Linked DNA regions of Coturnix japonica. The protein of the gene in region 1 binds, or shares a complex with, the protein of each later gene. Links are inferred from orthologs where the notes say so. Each region holds a gene or a part of one and is shown in the gene's direction. Other genes may lie near its edges.

Region 1 (3,500 bases):
GTGCTCAAATACGTGGATACCAATTTGCAGAAACAAAAAGAACTTCAAAAAGCCAATCAGTAAGTATTTTGTCTTAGAAGTTGTTCTCAGCAGAATCACTTGTTCTCTGGAGCTTCAATCCAACTGCAGTATATCAAAGGAGGTTGGTAAGTTCACAACAAAAAAACTCAACAAACACCTTCAAGAAGTATGCATTTGTCTTTTTATTCTTGAGGTGCTTTGACTTGGGGGGGCGGGGGGCTGGTCTTTGTGCTCCAGAAGCTTAAAGAGTGAACTGCTCCTTAGTTTTAAAACTGACTTGAGATTTTAATGAAGAGAAGGACAATGAGATAGGCAGGCACAGTGACTAACTGGAAACATGTTATATAATGCGGGAGTGAGGAGACTAAAAACAACCCTCCTGCAGTATCCTTACAATGTACTTCTAAGCAGTGAGGTCAGTCTTCCTAGGAAACACTTAAAAACTTTCTGGACTTGGTCCTAAACAGCCTTTTCTTCGTATCGTATCTTACTTTTTATAGCAGTGGTTTGCTGTTGCTTCCTGGTCACTGAATAACAAGGATTGTGGGAGGAGGTGTAAATGGGAGGTTATACCTTGAAGGGTTTGTTATATGTATAAGCCTAAAATCATCTTGCTATTTAGTAGATTTGTTCTTCTGAATTATTTGCTATCTGTTCTCTAAATGTTTGTGTAACTGTTGACCTTTTGAGGGAAAACATGCTTCTTTTTCAGTTAGACTTATTGCCAAATTTATTCTTTTCAAAGGGAACAATATGCAGAGGGGAAGATGAGAGGTGCTGCTCCAGGCAAGAAGACATCTGGTCTGCAGCAGAAAAATGTTGAAGTGTAAGAGGCTTTTTATTTAAAAACTGTTGCTTATAAGTCATTCTACTGATCTTTGAATGGTATTTTCTTACAGTTTAACCTCCATTCTATTACTCCTGACACAACCTGTACAGAGGTTTACTTTTGTGGTATCTGAAAGGCCTTTGTTGCAGTACTGTATTAAAACCATTTTCTAAGATGGAACAATGTTTAATAATGAATCAAGGTACTGAATAGGTTGGATGTTAATTTTATAGTTCTTTTGAATACTATTTCCCTCAAGTTAGTGAATTGGCACTCAGATCTGGTAAGTTTTCTTGTTTATCTCAGTGAAATTGAGCAGAATTTTTTAGTTCTTCTATGGAGCCCAAGCACTGATGCAGAAAAAAGTCCTTAAAATGCCTTGCCCTCTTACTGTGCAATTTAAAAATTGCCTTTAGGAAGCCTTTATTTTGCTGTCTTTTTTGCCAAATCTGAACACGTATGCTGTTAAAACATTTTTGCACCTGAAGAGACCAGAAGCAAGCTCAGATGTTCGTTAGGAGAAAAAACACAAAATGTAACTTTCAGTTTTCTTTCATTTCATCTTTTTTGTTTTTTTCACAATAAGATGTATGGCCTTACACTTAGGTTCTTAAACAGTCAGTACAGTTCTGCTTTGCTTATGTGCCATGAAACTCCTCTGCTGGACCAGTACTGATTTAATTATGTAGGTGCTCGTTACCGATGTGATGTTTTGAACTCCTGACTTCATTTGTGATTCTCATCTTTGTGAGGGAGCTGCTGAGATGGCATCATTTCCTAGGAGAAATTGGCTCATGTTTCATGCCTCTTTTAGGGGCATCTTTGTGTTACAAAATGTTTCATTGGTTTGAGAAGTGTGGTGGCAGTGGATGAAGGCCTTGTTGCTGTTGATCCTGAGTGTAGATTTAGCTGTGGAGTTGGCCAAACTCTACCCAAGGCTGTAAATTGTATCTTGGTCTTTGGAATGGAGTTTCACATGGATCTGGTCACAGTGCTACATACAAAATCCCTTGTTCTACTGCTGCAGATTGTGAGGTGCCTTAGCTACACTGGTTTTGTGTGCTTTCTCAGCTTGGGATGGGCCTCTACAGAGTTCTTAACGCATGTCATTATAAACTAATCAAAGCATCTAAATTGCGACAATTACTAATGGGGCTAATTGAGAGGTTGTTGCACTTGAGTCTATTTGTATTTTAGCCTCTGGAAGTAGAATTAATTCTTTAAAATAGGTAGTGATGGCTCAACTGAAAATGTTTTTCGTGACTCTACCAAATGCCTTGCAGAGAATGTCTCAACAGTTCCTTCAGGACTAGATTCCCTTTACTACCAGTTTTGGTAATGTTAGAGGCGCAGGCTGATTGCAGTGGGTTAGCTTGCTCTTTCCAGCTGAGAAAATGCTAAATGCTAACCTACACTAGAACTGCATAGAATTCAAAGTAGTCTTAATTCTCTCAACCATGTATAATCTATATCTAAGGTAGACTGGCACAGCAAAATGGACTTCATCTTAAACTTCTGTTCAATTCCAAAGCTCAAAAGCACGTTACCAGGTCTGTCTTTACTCTCCAATTGAAACCAGTTGGCTGAAGGGAGTGGCTTTGCTTTTTGCTATCGTCACTTATAGTAAGCATGAGGGATTGTTCCTTGTGTAGAAAAACATGCAGTAAACTAACTCTGAAGCTCTTCTTGGTGGTTGGAAAAATTAATTTCTAAACAGTGGATTATTAATGTAGTGAGGGGGAGGAAGGAAAACTCTGGTCACTGGAACAGCAGTCTTCTGATGTGAAAGATAACAGGGCCTCATGCTTGTTGCACTGATCTTGCTCCTAGTCTCTAGCTATTACCGGCATCCTTCTAAATTAGACCTCTGGTTCTTCCATTAAGGTCTCCCTATTTTTCTTCCTGACCTGAAGGCTGAGGGAGAGGCAATGCTTTGATCTAACCTAGCAGTGATACAAAGTTGTAATGCTGTTGTGTTATTGAATGGGCTACTGCTGCTTGTGTTCTGCTTACAACTAAATGCAAGATGGCTTCTGAAAACCAAAACATCTGCAAATAGTTTGAAAAACCTGGATTATTCTGCTGTAAATCTAAGGTCTTTGCAGGTACATGAAATGATGGTGGTGGGAGGGGGAGCAACCAATTGAGCAAATATTCTAAGAGGGTAATGCTGTCTACCGAATTGGCCTCAAAAGTTACCTTTTGTAGCATTCTTGGAGGATTGAACAAGGGGAGAGAACTTGCATCATGTAATTTATTCCTCAGCCAAACAGTAGTGAAAAGGAGATAATAGTGTAAGAACAACTTATCCTCCAGGAATGCTCAGTAAATCTATAACATGCTGCTAAGAAGGTACATTTTTGAATCTGAAATAGATTCTCGTAAAGGCTGAGCGCTGGGTCTGACATTCTTTCCTTAACTCAACCCCCATTGTGCCTAGATTTTTCAGACGAGATGGAGCGCATACTGTTTGCTGTTTGGAGACCCCTACCATATCGACGCGGTGAGTTAAGGATGGATTGTCAAACCAGGATTTTCATCCTGAAATCCAAACCTCCTTGCTTTCATAGATTTCTTTTAGAGACTCTTAAAGTCTTCAGTTGTAATAATGTAAGCTTTGGTAGCAATTGACTTAACAATTCTAAGTGCT
Region 2 (3,500 bases), on another chromosome or scaffold:
AGTTCACTGTTTTGTTGCCAGAAGATGCTTATTTGATGTAAGGGGAAAAAAAAGCCTGTATTAATTATGGAACAAGTCTGGAGAGAGAATTTGTAGTGATTGAAGTTAGCAAATAGATCTGCTTTGCATGCTGAATGGGATGGACCTCGGCATGTGCTTGGCTATTGCTGTGCAAAAGTGTTGGTGTGAGAAGACTTCATTCAGTACATGAGAACTTGGCCTGTTAGGTCAGTTTTTGTGGTAATTAATAACGGTTTCATGAATATTAGTTGCATAATTGGAAGGTGGTAGGAAGAGTAACACTAGTGCTGTTAGTAGTACTGACCAGTGATAGTAGTTTGATTGTAGTTTCTCAAAAAAGCTTTGTCGTGTTCTGAAGTGTGTTTCCAAAATAGTCAACTTTAATTTTGTACTCCACGCTTTTTTGCAGCATCAAGAGATAACCAGTCAAGTTCATCAAAACAGAAGAAAAAATCAAAATCACAACAGTACAAAGGACATAAGAAAAGTGGGTGACAAAACAGTGTTTGCAATTTCCCTGTTGCTTAAAAAGCTGTAGTCTCTCCCTAAGTCTCTCTTCTACTTGAAGTGCTGTTTGTATGTAAAACAGGTGTTAGGCTTAAAGGTGCAGTATGCCATAAAAGGAATTTTAGGAATAACAAGACAATATCTGTTGTTTTTTTTTTAATAACTTGCAGCAGGGTCGATCTCATTAGCAGAATGTGAGCTTTAGGTTAATACGTTAATATTGCTGGAATTCAGATCTTAATGTAAAGAGTGCATTGAGTAAGTTGGAACAGCACCTTACACCAAACTCTCAGACGCCTGAGCAAAAGGTGGCTTGTTCTTCATTGAGAAGCAGCATGTAAATAAAACTACTTTGGCGACTGTTGGAGACAAATAATAGCATTGCTTTTTGTGACCTTTTGTTGCAGGGGAGGCATCATAGTTACTACTCTTAAAAATCTGAGCTTTCTGACAGCTCCGTTCAGATTCTTCCCATAGTAATTGTTCATCTCAGAATCAGTTTTTCTCAAATCTCAAGCAATCAGAGTTTAGATTTGCACAAGTGCATATTTTGCACTCTTCCATCCGCATACTTTTGTGACGCTGTCTGTGACCTCATTCAAGGCAACCCAACTATATTTGTTATTTTTGGAGCATCAGCTCACTCTGCTGACTCATTCTCTTGGTGCTGTCTTGGAAGAGTGGAGTGCAAAGTTGCAGTACTTTGTGCTGCCAACACAAGGACAGATCAGCTACAGCAAAGGTCTATAATGTGTTGTCTTGATTTAGCAATTTGCTTTGCTTCTGTGCCAATCTATTTTCTAATGGGGCAGCCTAGCAAGCCATAAAATCAATGTCTTGGATGCTGAAAGTTACCTTAAGTGCAAGTCAGCAAGACTGGATGACAGAAATCTGTAACTGTCCTTTAATATGACTTTAGGAGAGGTTTTTTTATACAAAATCCTGTTCTAAGAAAGAACATGAGGCTTTTCTTACCATTAGAATCCATACGATCTTGACTATCTAAGGACAAGACTTTTGTCAGACAGTGCTGGGAGCATGTAAGCATTACCAGCTTCAGCGTTGATGTAGCTGAAAGTGGTGGAGACGGTATTCAACTGCTTGTGTTCCTGATGTGCTGTAATGAGAGGTTTCCTCCTACCAGAATCAGAGCATCAGCCTGTTGGGTTGATGTATCAAATGTGCAGTTTTGAATCTGAGTGTGAACAAGCAGAAATGAAGGGAAGAATTCAGCAGTAATACTGAGGAAGTATATAAAAATGCTGAGCTTGCTGAAGGCTGCTGTGTGCAATTAATCAGTCCTTGGTTATAGAAGGCTGCAGCAAAGATCTGGTAACTTTTGCTGTCCTTTTCCTAATCTGTTTCCTAATCTGCATGGCAATATAGAGCTGCACAGGTGATCTCTGGTACAGTGCAGTGCTGTGATCTGACAGGCTGATAGATTTAGCTTCACATTTGCTCAATTTGCACTTGTTTAAAACTTCCTTGAATGTGATGAGGGAATAATCAAATGGCTTGTGAGGTGCAGCAGGGCTCCAAGTACTAATGGGAGGTTATGGACTTCATTCTTAGCTTTATTCCATTATATTTCTGTATTTGAAGATATGTTGCTGTGTGTGTAAATGTTGTATTTGGTATCCATAGGCTTTAGTAGTCTTTTCATTCTGAGAGATCTGTTTATTTTTGTGTGATCAAGCCCTAAATGTGGGTACTGCACCTTTAAAGGAAATGCTGGTCTGCCTCATTTATTTTCCCTCTGCTCATATTTTAGTAATTATCGTTGTCCATTAACAAAATGGGAAAGCAGTTGTGCCATTATTGCTGTTTTCTGTGTGATGCTGTACATTAAAAGAAGAATCTCTACAATGGGAAATCTGGGGTCTGTTCCCAATTGAAATCATGTAAAGTAAACTGAGGGGTGAGTTGTGCTTACTGTGGATGTTACAGATCCTTACTGTTCATCTTTCATTTCTAGTGACTTCACTGCAGCTGAAGGAGGAGATGCTGGATGGGGAGGAGTACAGCTTCCTGCAAGGAGCCTCTGATCAGGAGAGCAACGGATCTGCCAGCTACTACATAAAGCAAGAACCATAAGGCAGCTCGGGAAAGTGAGGGCATGGGATTGGTGACAGGAAAAGAGCCTTTCTCCGAGACTGACTGGTTTTGTTCCCACTTTATGGTGCAGCGCGGATGGCTGCGCCGGGGGCACTTTGCTACCTGCAGAGTTTGACTCAGTTCAGAAATCTTTTAGAAGGGCGGGGAAACTATTTTAGTGAAAAAAAAGATTTTTTCAATTTATTAAAAAGGAGAACGGACACTTTTTGTGTTGTATTTGAAGCTTTTGCAAGAGTTTTGTAATATTTTCAAGTTCAGATCTATTGTGCATTGTTAACAAGAACTGAGAATCTAATTTTTTTGGTAAGATGAAAGTTTAAATAGCATGATGGTGGAAGCGCTTGGAGGAAGATGTAGTTGCAAATACAAATGAACTGTCACGACAAGTGAACCTTGTTGGTACAAATTGGGAGATACTTAAAACTCTTGTGAACTGCACCGGTCACACCTCTGTTCATTTTGAATTGTGAAAGAAGGCGTTTGAGCCCTGATGTGAAGGCGCAGATGGTAGGAGGAGGATCGCCCTGTAAAGCTCTACTTGGTGAGTAGCCCCAGTTGCAGTGGAGCCATCACCTGGGGGAGGTTGTTTTTTTTTAACCTTTTCAATATGTTTCTATTTAGTTTAAAATGTTTTTTTTATATGATGCTTTTTTTAATTGAAATACGTAGTTCCTTAGGGTCTGAATCAGTGCCCAGTAATATCGGTAGCCTTGTGTTCGTCAGCTGCAGTGGGCACTGGATTGGGACTACAGCTCTTTTGTCTCTACGTGGATATCTGTTGTCTTGGAACGCTCCAGCAAATGTTTACAGAGCCCTGTCTGCCAAACTGGAACTTCAGAAAATTCCCTGCTTTGGAG
Region 3 (3,500 bases), on another chromosome or scaffold:
GTGTGTACATATGTGTAATTATGTGTTGATAACTGGCTTAATGTTAAGCTTCTCTGTCAGTCTGATCTTCAGTAATAAGCTGAAGTAGCAGCAGAACAGCATGCTCTAATAAGCAAATGGAGAGACTAATACCAGGAGTCTTATGTGCTGATACCAAGGTGCAGTTTTTGACTCTTCCTTTTCTTCTGGTGGTCTCTCAGTTGCTATGACAACATTCAGCTGCATCTTTTAAAAGCCAGTGATGCTTTTCACAGTGTGGAATGAATCCTTAAGAAATTAGTATTCTTGGGAACCAAAGCAGTTGGCATGAAACTGAGATCCAGGGATGTGCTGGATGCTGAATGTTGTATTTTCAGAGGATGTTGTGGAAAACTGAACAGCTTGTTCTGCTATACGTGATTTATATTTGAAGGTCCCTTGCTACAATGCATACATAGGAGATGCTGTTGGACGAGTTTGGTCTGACACCTTTTTTATCACAAGTCATTGTGATTTGTGAGGTCTCTGTTACGCTGTGCACGTAGTTCTCTAGGAGCTTCTTAATGCATTTAAGCTGGAGTCTTAACTTCTGACATGAATGCTACAACATGGACAGTTATGGAACATGAGATGGTGGAAGGTTTGACCAATCCAGCTGATTCTCACTGGATCTAATGGGGATGAATACCTATATATATCTATATAGAGACACTGTAAAGTTTTCATTAGTTAAAATGAGCATGTTTATGTAGATATCAGTGTCTATCTTTGATATTTCAATAGAAAGGCAGATGCTACTTCTGAGTAGTGTTAGCACAGTGTGCAAACATCATTTTGGTTTTGTCTTCAGAAGAATCTGGCACGTATTGCAGACACTGCTGTTAGAACAGAACGTTTCTGTAGTAGATCAGTGACTTGAGCTTGAATTGTATCATTCAGCTTTTAGTTTGGACGCTGAGCAGCCGGATTATGACATGGATTCAGAAGATGAGGTCTTTGTCAATAAGTTGAAGAAAAGGATGGATATCTCTCCTTTGCAATTTGAAGAGATGATAGACCGACTAGAGAAGGGCAGCGGCCAGCAGGTATGGGGTTGCTTTGAATAAAGAATTCTGAAATACGCTTTGTCTGTGATGCCTTATGACAATGACATACTGGGTTTTACATTTAGCCAGTCAGCCTGCAAGAGGCCAAGCTGTTGCTGAAAGAAGACGATGAATTGATCAGAGAAGTATACGAGTACTGGATTAAAAAGAGGAAAAACTGTCGAGGGCCCTCTCTTATCCCAGCGGTGAAACAAGAGAAGCGAGATGGCTCCAGCACAAATGATCCTTACGTTGCTTTTAGGAGACGAACAGAAAAGATGCAGACAAGGAAAGTAAGTAGATTAATACTTCCCTGTTACTTGTTTCCTCTTCTTTCTCCTCCCTCTCATAAGAGCTTATCTGAAGAGACAAACTTGCTACGTAGTGTAAAACAATACAAGATGCCTTTTTGTGTTTTTTCTCTTTTAATTTGTAAGGGGGGGGATGGAAAAAAAGATGAAGCACTTGAGACCAGTTACTGAAGGAAGTTTGTATTCAGTATTTATTTTCTCTCTAAATTGGCTGCTAAACCTACTTGTGATGGTAGAAAGCTGTAGCTGATTGGTAGATGCACACGTTTCTCTAAATTTGTTTTAGCACATGTTTTAAAAGAACTGAACACTTACAGTTTAGTTTAGTTCAGGTTATGTTATTTAAATGATGTGGGAAAACATGAACCACTTTGCCTCTACAGAATCGAAAAAATGATGAAGCGTCCTATGAGAAGATGCTTAAACTGCGGCGAGACCTGAGCCGTGCAGTAACCATCCTGGAGATGATAAAGAGGAGGGAAAAGAGCAAGAGGGAATTGCTGCATTTAACACTGGAAATTATCGAAAAGAGGTAATGGTTATTGCAGATGTGCTGCAGAAAGCTTCAGAAACTGCTATAGATGTCAGCTCCTATGAATGTTTTATATAATATGCGATATTGTCTTAGCAAAGAGATTTGCATTTTGCTTTGTTAACAATATGGCATATTCTATTCTCTTTTATGACACTGAAGAGCAGAATTGAATTTAGGGAGTTACTGAAAAAAAAGCAGGCTGCTTTTTCAAAATGGGTATCGCTAATGTGCTTTGTTCTATTACGTGTGTGTTAAAACATAATTATCTTACGTCCTGTGTATTATGTAGTAAGGAAGACTATAGCTTCAGGTAAATTCCTATGGAAATGTTAAACTTAATAACTGTGTAGATGAGGGAATATCCTGTCAAAGAAAACAAGCATTTCATTCAGCACAATGTACTGTTCTGGGAGTTGTTTCCAACTTGTTTCTGTTGACATCCTGTTCAACAGCTGTGCAGAGACCAAATGCTCCACTTTGTCAGTTGTCACTTTCCCAATGAGTTGAGAATCACATTTGAGATGTAGGGTTGGTTGTTTAGCAGTTGATATTTAGAATCTGAATGGACTTCTCAGATCTAAGCATCCATGTTTGAAAACTTAAAACATTTTGAGTCAGTGCTGTAAGGCTCTAAAACAAAACAGCTTGTGATTTAGTTTGAGATCTTGGGAACACGAGCTGAGTGTCTCAGTCCTTTCTAACAGGTGCTCTTTTTTAAGCACTGACCATGCCCAGTAGAGAGACGCACTGGCTTTTCTAAGCAGGTGAACTCTTGAAGGCTAAAATGACTAAAAAAATCCAGACCATCAAATTAGCACAGATCTTGAAATGCAATATGTTTCATGGTTCTACATCTTACAAAGCTGTGCTGTTGCACAGAGGGGATTTGTGCACAAGGCTCTGCCTCTCTGTAGAACCCTTTGCATTATGTTATGTTGGGTGTATTACAGATGGTTCCCCTTGTCAGAACTGGGCATGGCAGAAAAAATCTGCGTGCTGTTGGTCTCCTGCAATAGTCATTTTTGAACTTGTTGCTGACATCTTGGAAGTCCTTCTTACCCCAAATGGGAAGTGCTGTTACTCTGTGTTTAACTGTTGCATGTTGTTCTGTGTTTTTACCAGACAAGCACTAGCAATATTTAAAGCAGTCTTGTTCTTTTACACTTTTTAAATTACAGGTATAATTTGGGTGATTACAGTGGAGAGATTGTGTCTGAGGTCATGGCACAGCGGCAGCCAATGAAACCTACTTACGCTATTCCCATCATTCCTGTGACTAACAGCAGTCCTTTCAAACATCAAGAAACGATGGAACTGAAAGAATATAAAGTTAACAAAGTGAGTAATGGCAGTAACAGAGTCGTTAGGTGCTGTGACTTGAGCAAACTGCAGCATTTTAGGATATAGCTACAGAAAATGTGCTTGATTGGGTGTTCTGTGTGGGATGGCAGTAGAACAAATGGTGCTTAATTCCAACTTACAGTTTAAACATTCCAGTTAATAGCTGTGAGATAGAAATATTCTTGAGAGGTCTGCTTGTGTCACTATTAAGATGCTGGAGTGGTGATGTTACTCTTTAGTTTGCTTAAT
Region 4 (3,747 bases), on another chromosome or scaffold:
AAAAAGAGAGTGGGTAAACACGTGTGACAAATGCTTCATAATCTTTGTTTCGTTCCAGAAACCTAAAGAAATTTCGCAAGTGGCAATGTAAGCAAGTGAGAGCTCTGCGGAGTGAGGTGAAGAGCTCCTGGAAGAGACTGATTGGGGTTGAGAGCGCGTGCAATGTGGACTGTCGGTTCAAGCTCAACACCCACAAAATGATGTTCATCATGAACTCAGAGGATTACATGTACAGGCGGGGAGCGCTCTGCCGAGCCAAGCAGGTGCATCTCCTGTTACTCTCTCAGTAGCTTAGACTATAGCAGAGATAGAAGATTGCAGCCAAAAGACAGGTATTGATAAGAAGTCTTGCAGCTGAATTTCTGCAAACTGCATCCAGAAGTTACTCCTCTGCATCGGATGAAACAAGGAAGAAAGATGGGAAATGTTCTGTGCTTTAGTTTAGTTCAGCAGGTTTTTCTTTGCAAATTTTAAAGGGGAGTGGCAAACATTAAGAAATAGAGATCCTTAAAGGCAGCTGTGTGGCTTTTCTGTTTGTATTGTGTTGTATAGCATGCCTGTCTTGGACATACAAAGAGGTGGAAGTTTTGACTTCTTGCCCAGAAACCTCTCAGTGATTTTTTTACTTTTCTGCTTTCAGGTACAGCCAATGGTGCTGTTAAAGCACCACCAGCAGTTTGAAGAGTGGCACAACAGATGGCTTGAAGAGAATGTGACCATGGAGGCAGTAGATGTAGTTCAAGATTGGCTAATGGGAGATGAAGATGAGGAGATGGTGCCCTGTAAAACAACTTGTGAGACAGTGAATGTCCATGGAGTCCCTGTGAACAGATACAGAGTGCAGTACAGTCGCCATCCAGCTTCACCTTGAGGAAATTTGTGCCTGGGACTTGCTGGTGAAACACATTTACTCTGAGAATAGTGGTGGGAATGCAATGTAATGTATTAATGGTATTTATCCAAACAGCATTTTACTTTGGATTATAACGTATTTTCCATATGGCCTAGACTTGTCTCCTTGCAGTGTAATCCTCCAGTCATCATGAAGAGACCGAACAGCTTTAAGGAAGAGGGCTCTTGGCATTGCCACACACTTTTTAGTAGTTTCCTAGCCTTAAGCCACTGCTGGCCAGCCAACACAGGAAGGCAGAACGAGTGGGCTGGGCTCCTGGTGATCTGCCACTGGTGGCTTTGTTGGACAGGAGTTGGCTGGTGCTTGGCAAATGCTGGCAGCTGCTTCCACTTTTCAGAAGTTTAATGTGCCCTATCTTCCTGAATTTGTGCCGTCTTGAAGCCTGCAGAACTCTTCAGTGTAACCTCCAAGTGCCAGCGTGGCACTGATTGCCAGCCTTGCTGCAGGCTGCTTCGTTATCTGCGTGTACTAATAAGGCAACAAATGCAGTGTTTGTTACTGGTGCTCCGGTGAGAAAATGTTGAAAGTGAGGCAGAGGTGAACAGCATACTGATCACTCTTAACTCCTGCTCACCAACTGAGTATTCTGGAGTGGGAACTAAGGGGAAGAATCTCTGTGAGCTGCAGTGCTGGGGAGGAGCCAAGGCCCACGGTCTGTCTGCCCCTCTCATTGCTCTGAGAATTTGTGACCTGCTGCAGAGTGCTGTCTCCGATCTGAAGCTGCTTGGAGCGTGTGTGTGGAGAAGGATATCCACTGCGAGGTCTGGTCTGATTATTTTTGGTATGTTGCATGCTGACTGGCAGCCCCTGGAGACTGCAAACTCTTCCTTGTGTGTGCCCAGATTCTGCGGTTCTGCTGGGTTGTACCACTTAAATAACGGCAGTAGATGGAGCTCTTGCAGCACAGTGTTTGCTCTGGATCTGAAGTTTTGTCCCAGATATTCTGCTGTTCCTGTTAGGTCAGTGCAGATGCTGTGTTTGCAGTGACACACGGAAGTCTGTAATGGGGAGGATTAGATCCAGCCACAACCACTGAAGCTTTTCCACCAAACCCTCCTTACTTCTACCCAAGCTTTATTGAATAGAAGCAAAGCAAAATGTAACCTGAACCGTGCAGAAAACTGCATCAACTGTCAGACTAAACCTGTTGAAAAATCAAGGAAATTCAGCTGTGTCTGTCCTGCAGCCCCACTGTGACTTTGCTGTTGTTTTTGGGGGCCAAAGGCAAGCACTCTCATGGAGCATATGACAAACATAATGTGTTGAGGCAGGTCCAGCCTCTTTCAGCTCAACCTCCAGCTTTTCATGGCTCTTAAGGGAATAACCCCCCAACCTGGATACTTTTTTTGTGGCTTTGATTTTAGGTTATAATTTCAGCGAAACCTAAATAGCAGCCTGTAGGATTTGTCCTGGGTTATTTCCACTGTACAGCGTTGGGTTTTGCAATTGTCTCACTTGACCGTAGAAAAATTGGCCTTTGGGGTATGTTTAATACAAAACTGTACTGACTCTTTGTCTTTTTTGCAAATTAATCTGTGGGAGGGAATGAAGGAGGCCACTCTTTGGCATTTGTGGCCACTTGCACAACCACTGCCAGTGCAGAACTTCTCTTCGTGTTCTCATTGAGTGTCTGTTGAATTCTGGTTACTGAAATGAGCTCCGAGGTTCCTCCCCCTGTCCACATAGATATGGGAGGGCGAGGTGGAGAGGGGGATCGAGCCCAGTGCAAAGCACAGTAACCCTTTCTCTTCCAGTCAGCTTAACAGAATACACCTCAGTCCTGTTCACCTCTCTGCTGTCTTCCAGTGGAGATGATAACTGTGCCAAATTTTATGGTTTTATGATACAGAAAAATGTTTACTAGACAATAGGTTGCAACTCGTGGCTTAAAATGCATTTGATTCCAGGTGTCCCATGAGGGTAACACACCTGTGTGCCATCCTGTTCCATCTCCCCATTTTTTAAGTGTACTTCAGGTATTTTTAAGCATCCTTATTTTGTAAACTTCTAATTTATGATCTTGAACAGATTACGACAGACTGTGGCCCTTCGTAGTGCTGTTGTCTCAAAAACAGTGGTAGCAAATGATGTGAAGTGATGGGATAAGTGGGCAGTGCAGGTCTGAGAGTGCTTTGCTGATGTCTGAGAGTTTAAGCTCAGCTGTTGTACCTGCAAGCACCACCTCGAATCAAGAGTTTGTTCTTCCATCTTTTTGAAGGATCTTTGCTTTTGGGCTTATAATTGCTTTGCCAGCTCTTTGAATGTAGTTTGTTTGTTGTTTTTTTAATATTTATTTGCACATCCAAGTCAAATAAAATACTGATTTTAAAAGTCTGCAGGTCTCACTGTTCTAAATGGGTTTAAGATTTCATTTATGCCTTCTGATAACCCCCAGAACTGACTGTCATGTGCTTGAAACTCAATTTTCAATGGTAGAAAAATGCAGCTGGAACTTCCTATACACCACTTTCTGTCCATTTCCCCTTGTCCTGTCTCCACACACTGCTGAAAAGAGTCTAGTCTCCCCACTTTGACCCCCCCCCCCCCACCTCAGATATTCATAGACCTGGATCAGGTCCTCTCTCAGTCTTCTTTTCTCAAGGCTAAGCAGACACAGTTCACTCAGCCTTTCAGCTCTGTGTTGGTTTGTTCCTAGCAGCACCTTTGCCATGAGAGGTGTGCAAAACCGAGGTCCAGACCCAGCTTCAGCTACTCGTGTGCTCCACACAACAGCCCTTGGAGTGCACGATTCCAGTTCCAAAACCCATCAGCACATCTGCTCCAGGTTAAAGCTGTACAAATGCAACCACAAAAATAACCCCCACCCGCCTTCC
Region 5 (2,611 bases), on another chromosome or scaffold:
ACAGGTGCAAATCCCAGGCTGTTTCCTGGGGGGAGTGCAGGATTCTCATTTCTGTTTTGCTGAGTGGGTCCAGTGGGGGAATTTGTTGATGATTTGTCTGGCACTAGATTGTCCTTACTCAGAAGTGCAGGTGTTCAAACAGTGCTGTAGTGCCAGGTCCCATTTTTTATATTTCTCTCTGGCTTGGGTTACTGTAAGCATGACAAAGGCAAAATGAACCGTAAGGTTTCTGCGCCAGGGCAGTATGGAGATTCACAGAGGAAATCATATTCTGTTTTTTTCTCAGCTCAGTGTGCAGTGAGGATCAGGAAGCAATACAGGCTCAGAAGATCTGGAAGAAAGCCATCATGCTGGTTTGGAGAGCAGCGGCTAATCACAGGTGAGTTTGATGTCTTGAGAACTGGCAGAAAGAAGTGACTAATCTCAGGCAAGTCTGTACTTTCCCAGCTCTGAGGCTTTACCTGCCTTGTTATGGGGAGATGATGAATCACACTGTTAGTGATAGCAGACAAATAAACATGAGAGCATGACACAAGTATTTGAGAATTGTTCCTCTATTGGCAGGGGCAGGGCATTCACTGGAATCTCTCTCTATCTCTTTAGGTATGCCAATGTCTTCCTGCAGCCTGTGACTGACGATATAGCACCAGGCTACCACAGTATTGTGCAGAGGTGAGTCTCAGCATTCTTATGTGACAAGAACTCTGGTGTATTTGCGTAAGAATTTCTGCCAGGAAGAGTCTAGAGTTCATCCATTGTTCAGACTGCAAAACTTGAAAAATACCTTTCTTCTGACATCATTCATTGTATTTCCCTAAGAAAAAGGGACACCTTCAGTAACACATACAAGTCTGTACACAGCCCTGTCCTTGAATGAAATACAGATTTGACCAGAACATTTTTTTATCAGTGAAGTGGTATGTGACTATCAGCTTCTCTGTTATTGTCCAAGGGTTGAATTTAAGGTGTGATGTTCCCACAACCCGGATTCTTTAATCAGCTCTTTTATTGCCTCAGAAAGTCTAGATTATGGAAGAGTTACCAAAATGTGCCTAAATAGTCCAGTGGTTGTAGCTGTGGCTCCCTTGTGTCACACGGAATGCTTGGAGAAGGCAAATGCCTCTCTTGAGGCAGCTGTTACATGTACTTACCATTCCTGTTAACTGCTGAGCAGATTGTGTCTCCTGATCTGAAGCCTTGGAACTCAGGAATGCAGCCTATGTGGGAACATATTCTGCTAAATTAAATAGATGGTCTAATTAGATATGTTTTAGTCCTTAGACTGCAAATGAGAAAGGAGAGAGTTACATGTTTGCATTGCTATTTTGAATGTATTTCATAGGCCGATGGATTTATCTACCATCAAGAAGAACATTGAGAATGGACTGATACGAACCACAGCTGAGTTCCAGCGTGACATTATGCTGATGTTTCAAAATGCAGTTATGTACAATAGCTCTGACCACGATGTGTACCATATGGCTGTAGAGATGCAGCGAGATGTCCTGGAACAGATCCAGGTAAAGTACTGAGCTGAGGCTGTTTCAGAACAGAGTTGTCTGCATTGGTCCACAGGTACAGGAAAGACTTCTGGAAGTGAAAATGAAGTTTCACTCACAGTGTCTTCAAATGAATCCCCATCTTTGCCTGCTTGTACTAGCTTAGGTGTTTGTGGTGAACTGGATTGTTAAAACTAACACAGTGAGATGTTTGTTTGGCTTAGCCCAGACTAATTTCAAACCTGATTTCCTTTGGGGGTGCACATATGCTTAGGCCAGCAAGAACTGGGGTGTGGTTCAGGAACAGAAATGAGCAACAAGATCAGTGAATGACAAGGGACGCAGCTGCTGCTTTTGGTGACTGTCAGTCTGTGCTGGCTTGAGGCACATACAAAACTGTCCTGAGATTGTCCTTTGAATATGTATCATTAGAATTTCTTCTGAAGCAGAACGTCCCAGCTGCCAGGGCTGTCATAGTTTGAACTGGATTTTTATAGTCCCTCCAGACTTGTGGCTGCTGAGGTGAATGGGGAAACTTATTCTGAGCAGCAAACAAGGAACTGAAACTGTCTCTGACCCATTCGTTCCCAGCCCTGTGGTTTGTGATAGCTGACAAGCTTTAACTGAGCTTGTTTTGCTAGAGAATCTTAACAGAGTATGGTTTTCCTGCAGCAATTTCTGGCTACACAACTGATCATGCAAACGTCAGAGTCGGGGATCAGCGCAAAGAGCCTGCGTGGGCGAGACTCCACTCGCAAGCAAGATGCTTCAGAGAAGGTGAGAATGCTGCACCCTGCAGAAGGGCGGCTGGTGTCTTTTGGAGGATCTCAAGATACCACATAAAGTTCCAGTACCAAAGATGTGCAGAATGTGTTTTTAGATTGGAATAGGTCCTGCATCTTCATGTGAACAATTTACTGTTATTATGTTTCTTTAACTAAGTCCATTGATTAGACTTCAGCTCTGGGGATGTACATCAACCCAGAGATGGGTCTGAGAGTCATGAGTTATTTCTGCAATCCCTATGTTTCTGTCCGTGATTTCAAGAGCAAGTGATGAAAAGTGTTGTGAAATGAGGAAATATTGGAGGAAATATTGGAGGAGGTGTGGTA

Evidence for each region. The genes of interacting proteins can lie anywhere in the genome.
Region 2: MORF4L1 (region 1) and MBTD1 share a complex: the UniProt entries of both Homo sapiens proteins name them as parts of the nuA4 histone acetyltransferase complex. The link is inferred for Coturnix japonica from reciprocal best matches to the Homo sapiens genes MORF4L1 and MBTD1.
Region 3: MORF4L1 (region 1) and EPC1 share a complex: the UniProt entries of both Homo sapiens proteins name them as parts of the nuA4 histone acetyltransferase complex. The link is inferred for Coturnix japonica from reciprocal best matches to the Homo sapiens genes MORF4L1 and EPC1.
Region 4: the proteins of MORF4L1 (region 1) and SIN3B are in contact, whole or in part, in a cryo-EM structure (PDB 8BPA), measured with the Homo sapiens proteins. The link is inferred for Coturnix japonica from reciprocal best matches to the Homo sapiens genes MORF4L1 and SIN3B. Residues at the interface, in NP_996670.1 of Homo sapiens: Gln217, Gln219, Tyr222, Ser348, Tyr350, Glu351, Val352, Ala353, Pro354, Pro355, Tyr357, His358; in NP_056075.1 of Homo sapiens: Cys394, Arg396, Arg402, Ala403, Pro405, Lys406, Thr407, Tyr408, Ser462, Phe463, Pro464.
Region 5: MORF4L1 (region 1) and BRD8 share a complex: the UniProt entries of both Homo sapiens proteins name them as parts of the nuA4 histone acetyltransferase complex. The link is inferred for Coturnix japonica from reciprocal best matches to the Homo sapiens genes MORF4L1 and BRD8.

Annotation. Positions count from the first base shown.
Region 1 is NC_029525.1:17,841,149-17,844,648, reverse strand, and holds part of MORF4L1 (mortality factor 4-like protein 1), read left to right. Parts: coding exon 1-59; intron 60-766; coding exon 767-847; intron 848-3,290; coding exon 3,291-3,353; intron 3,354-3,500. UniProt on the Homo sapiens protein: Component of the NuA4 histone acetyltransferase (HAT) complex which is involved in transcriptional activation of select genes principally by acetylation of nucleosomal histones H4 and H2A.
Region 2 is NC_029533.1:8,733,043-8,736,542, forward strand, and holds part of MBTD1 (MBT domain-containing protein 1), read left to right. Parts: intron 1-430; coding exon 431-508; intron 509-2,503; coding exon 2,504-2,622; 3' UTR 2,623-3,500. UniProt on the Homo sapiens protein: Chromatin reader component of the NuA4 histone acetyltransferase complex, a multiprotein complex involved in transcriptional activation of select genes principally by acetylation of nucleosomal histones H4 and H2A.
Region 3 is NC_029517.1:12,814,581-12,818,080, forward strand, and holds part of EPC1 (enhancer of polycomb homolog 1), read left to right. Parts: intron 1-918; coding exon 919-1,064; intron 1,065-1,150; coding exon 1,151-1,357; intron 1,358-1,758; coding exon 1,759-1,907; intron 1,908-3,088; coding exon 3,089-3,248; intron 3,249-3,500. UniProt on the Homo sapiens protein: Component of the NuA4 histone acetyltransferase (HAT) complex, a multiprotein complex involved in transcriptional activation of select genes principally by acetylation of nucleosomal histones H4 and H2A.
Region 4 is NC_029543.1:3,313,383-3,317,129, reverse strand, and holds the end of SIN3B (paired amphipathic helix protein Sin3b), read left to right. Parts: intron 1-58; coding exon 59-263; intron 264-640; coding exon 641-871; 3' UTR 872-3,247; downstream 3,248-3,747.
Region 5 is NC_029528.1:11,890,451-11,893,061, forward strand, and holds part of BRD8 (bromodomain-containing protein 8), read left to right. Parts: intron 1-286; coding exon 287-379; intron 380-603; coding exon 604-672; intron 673-1,342; coding exon 1,343-1,520; intron 1,521-2,171; coding exon 2,172-2,276; intron 2,277-2,611. UniProt on the Homo sapiens protein: May act as a coactivator during transcriptional activation by hormone-activated nuclear receptors (NR). Isoform 2 stimulates transcriptional activation by AR/DHTR, ESR1/NR3A1, RXRA/NR2B1 and THRB/ERBA2.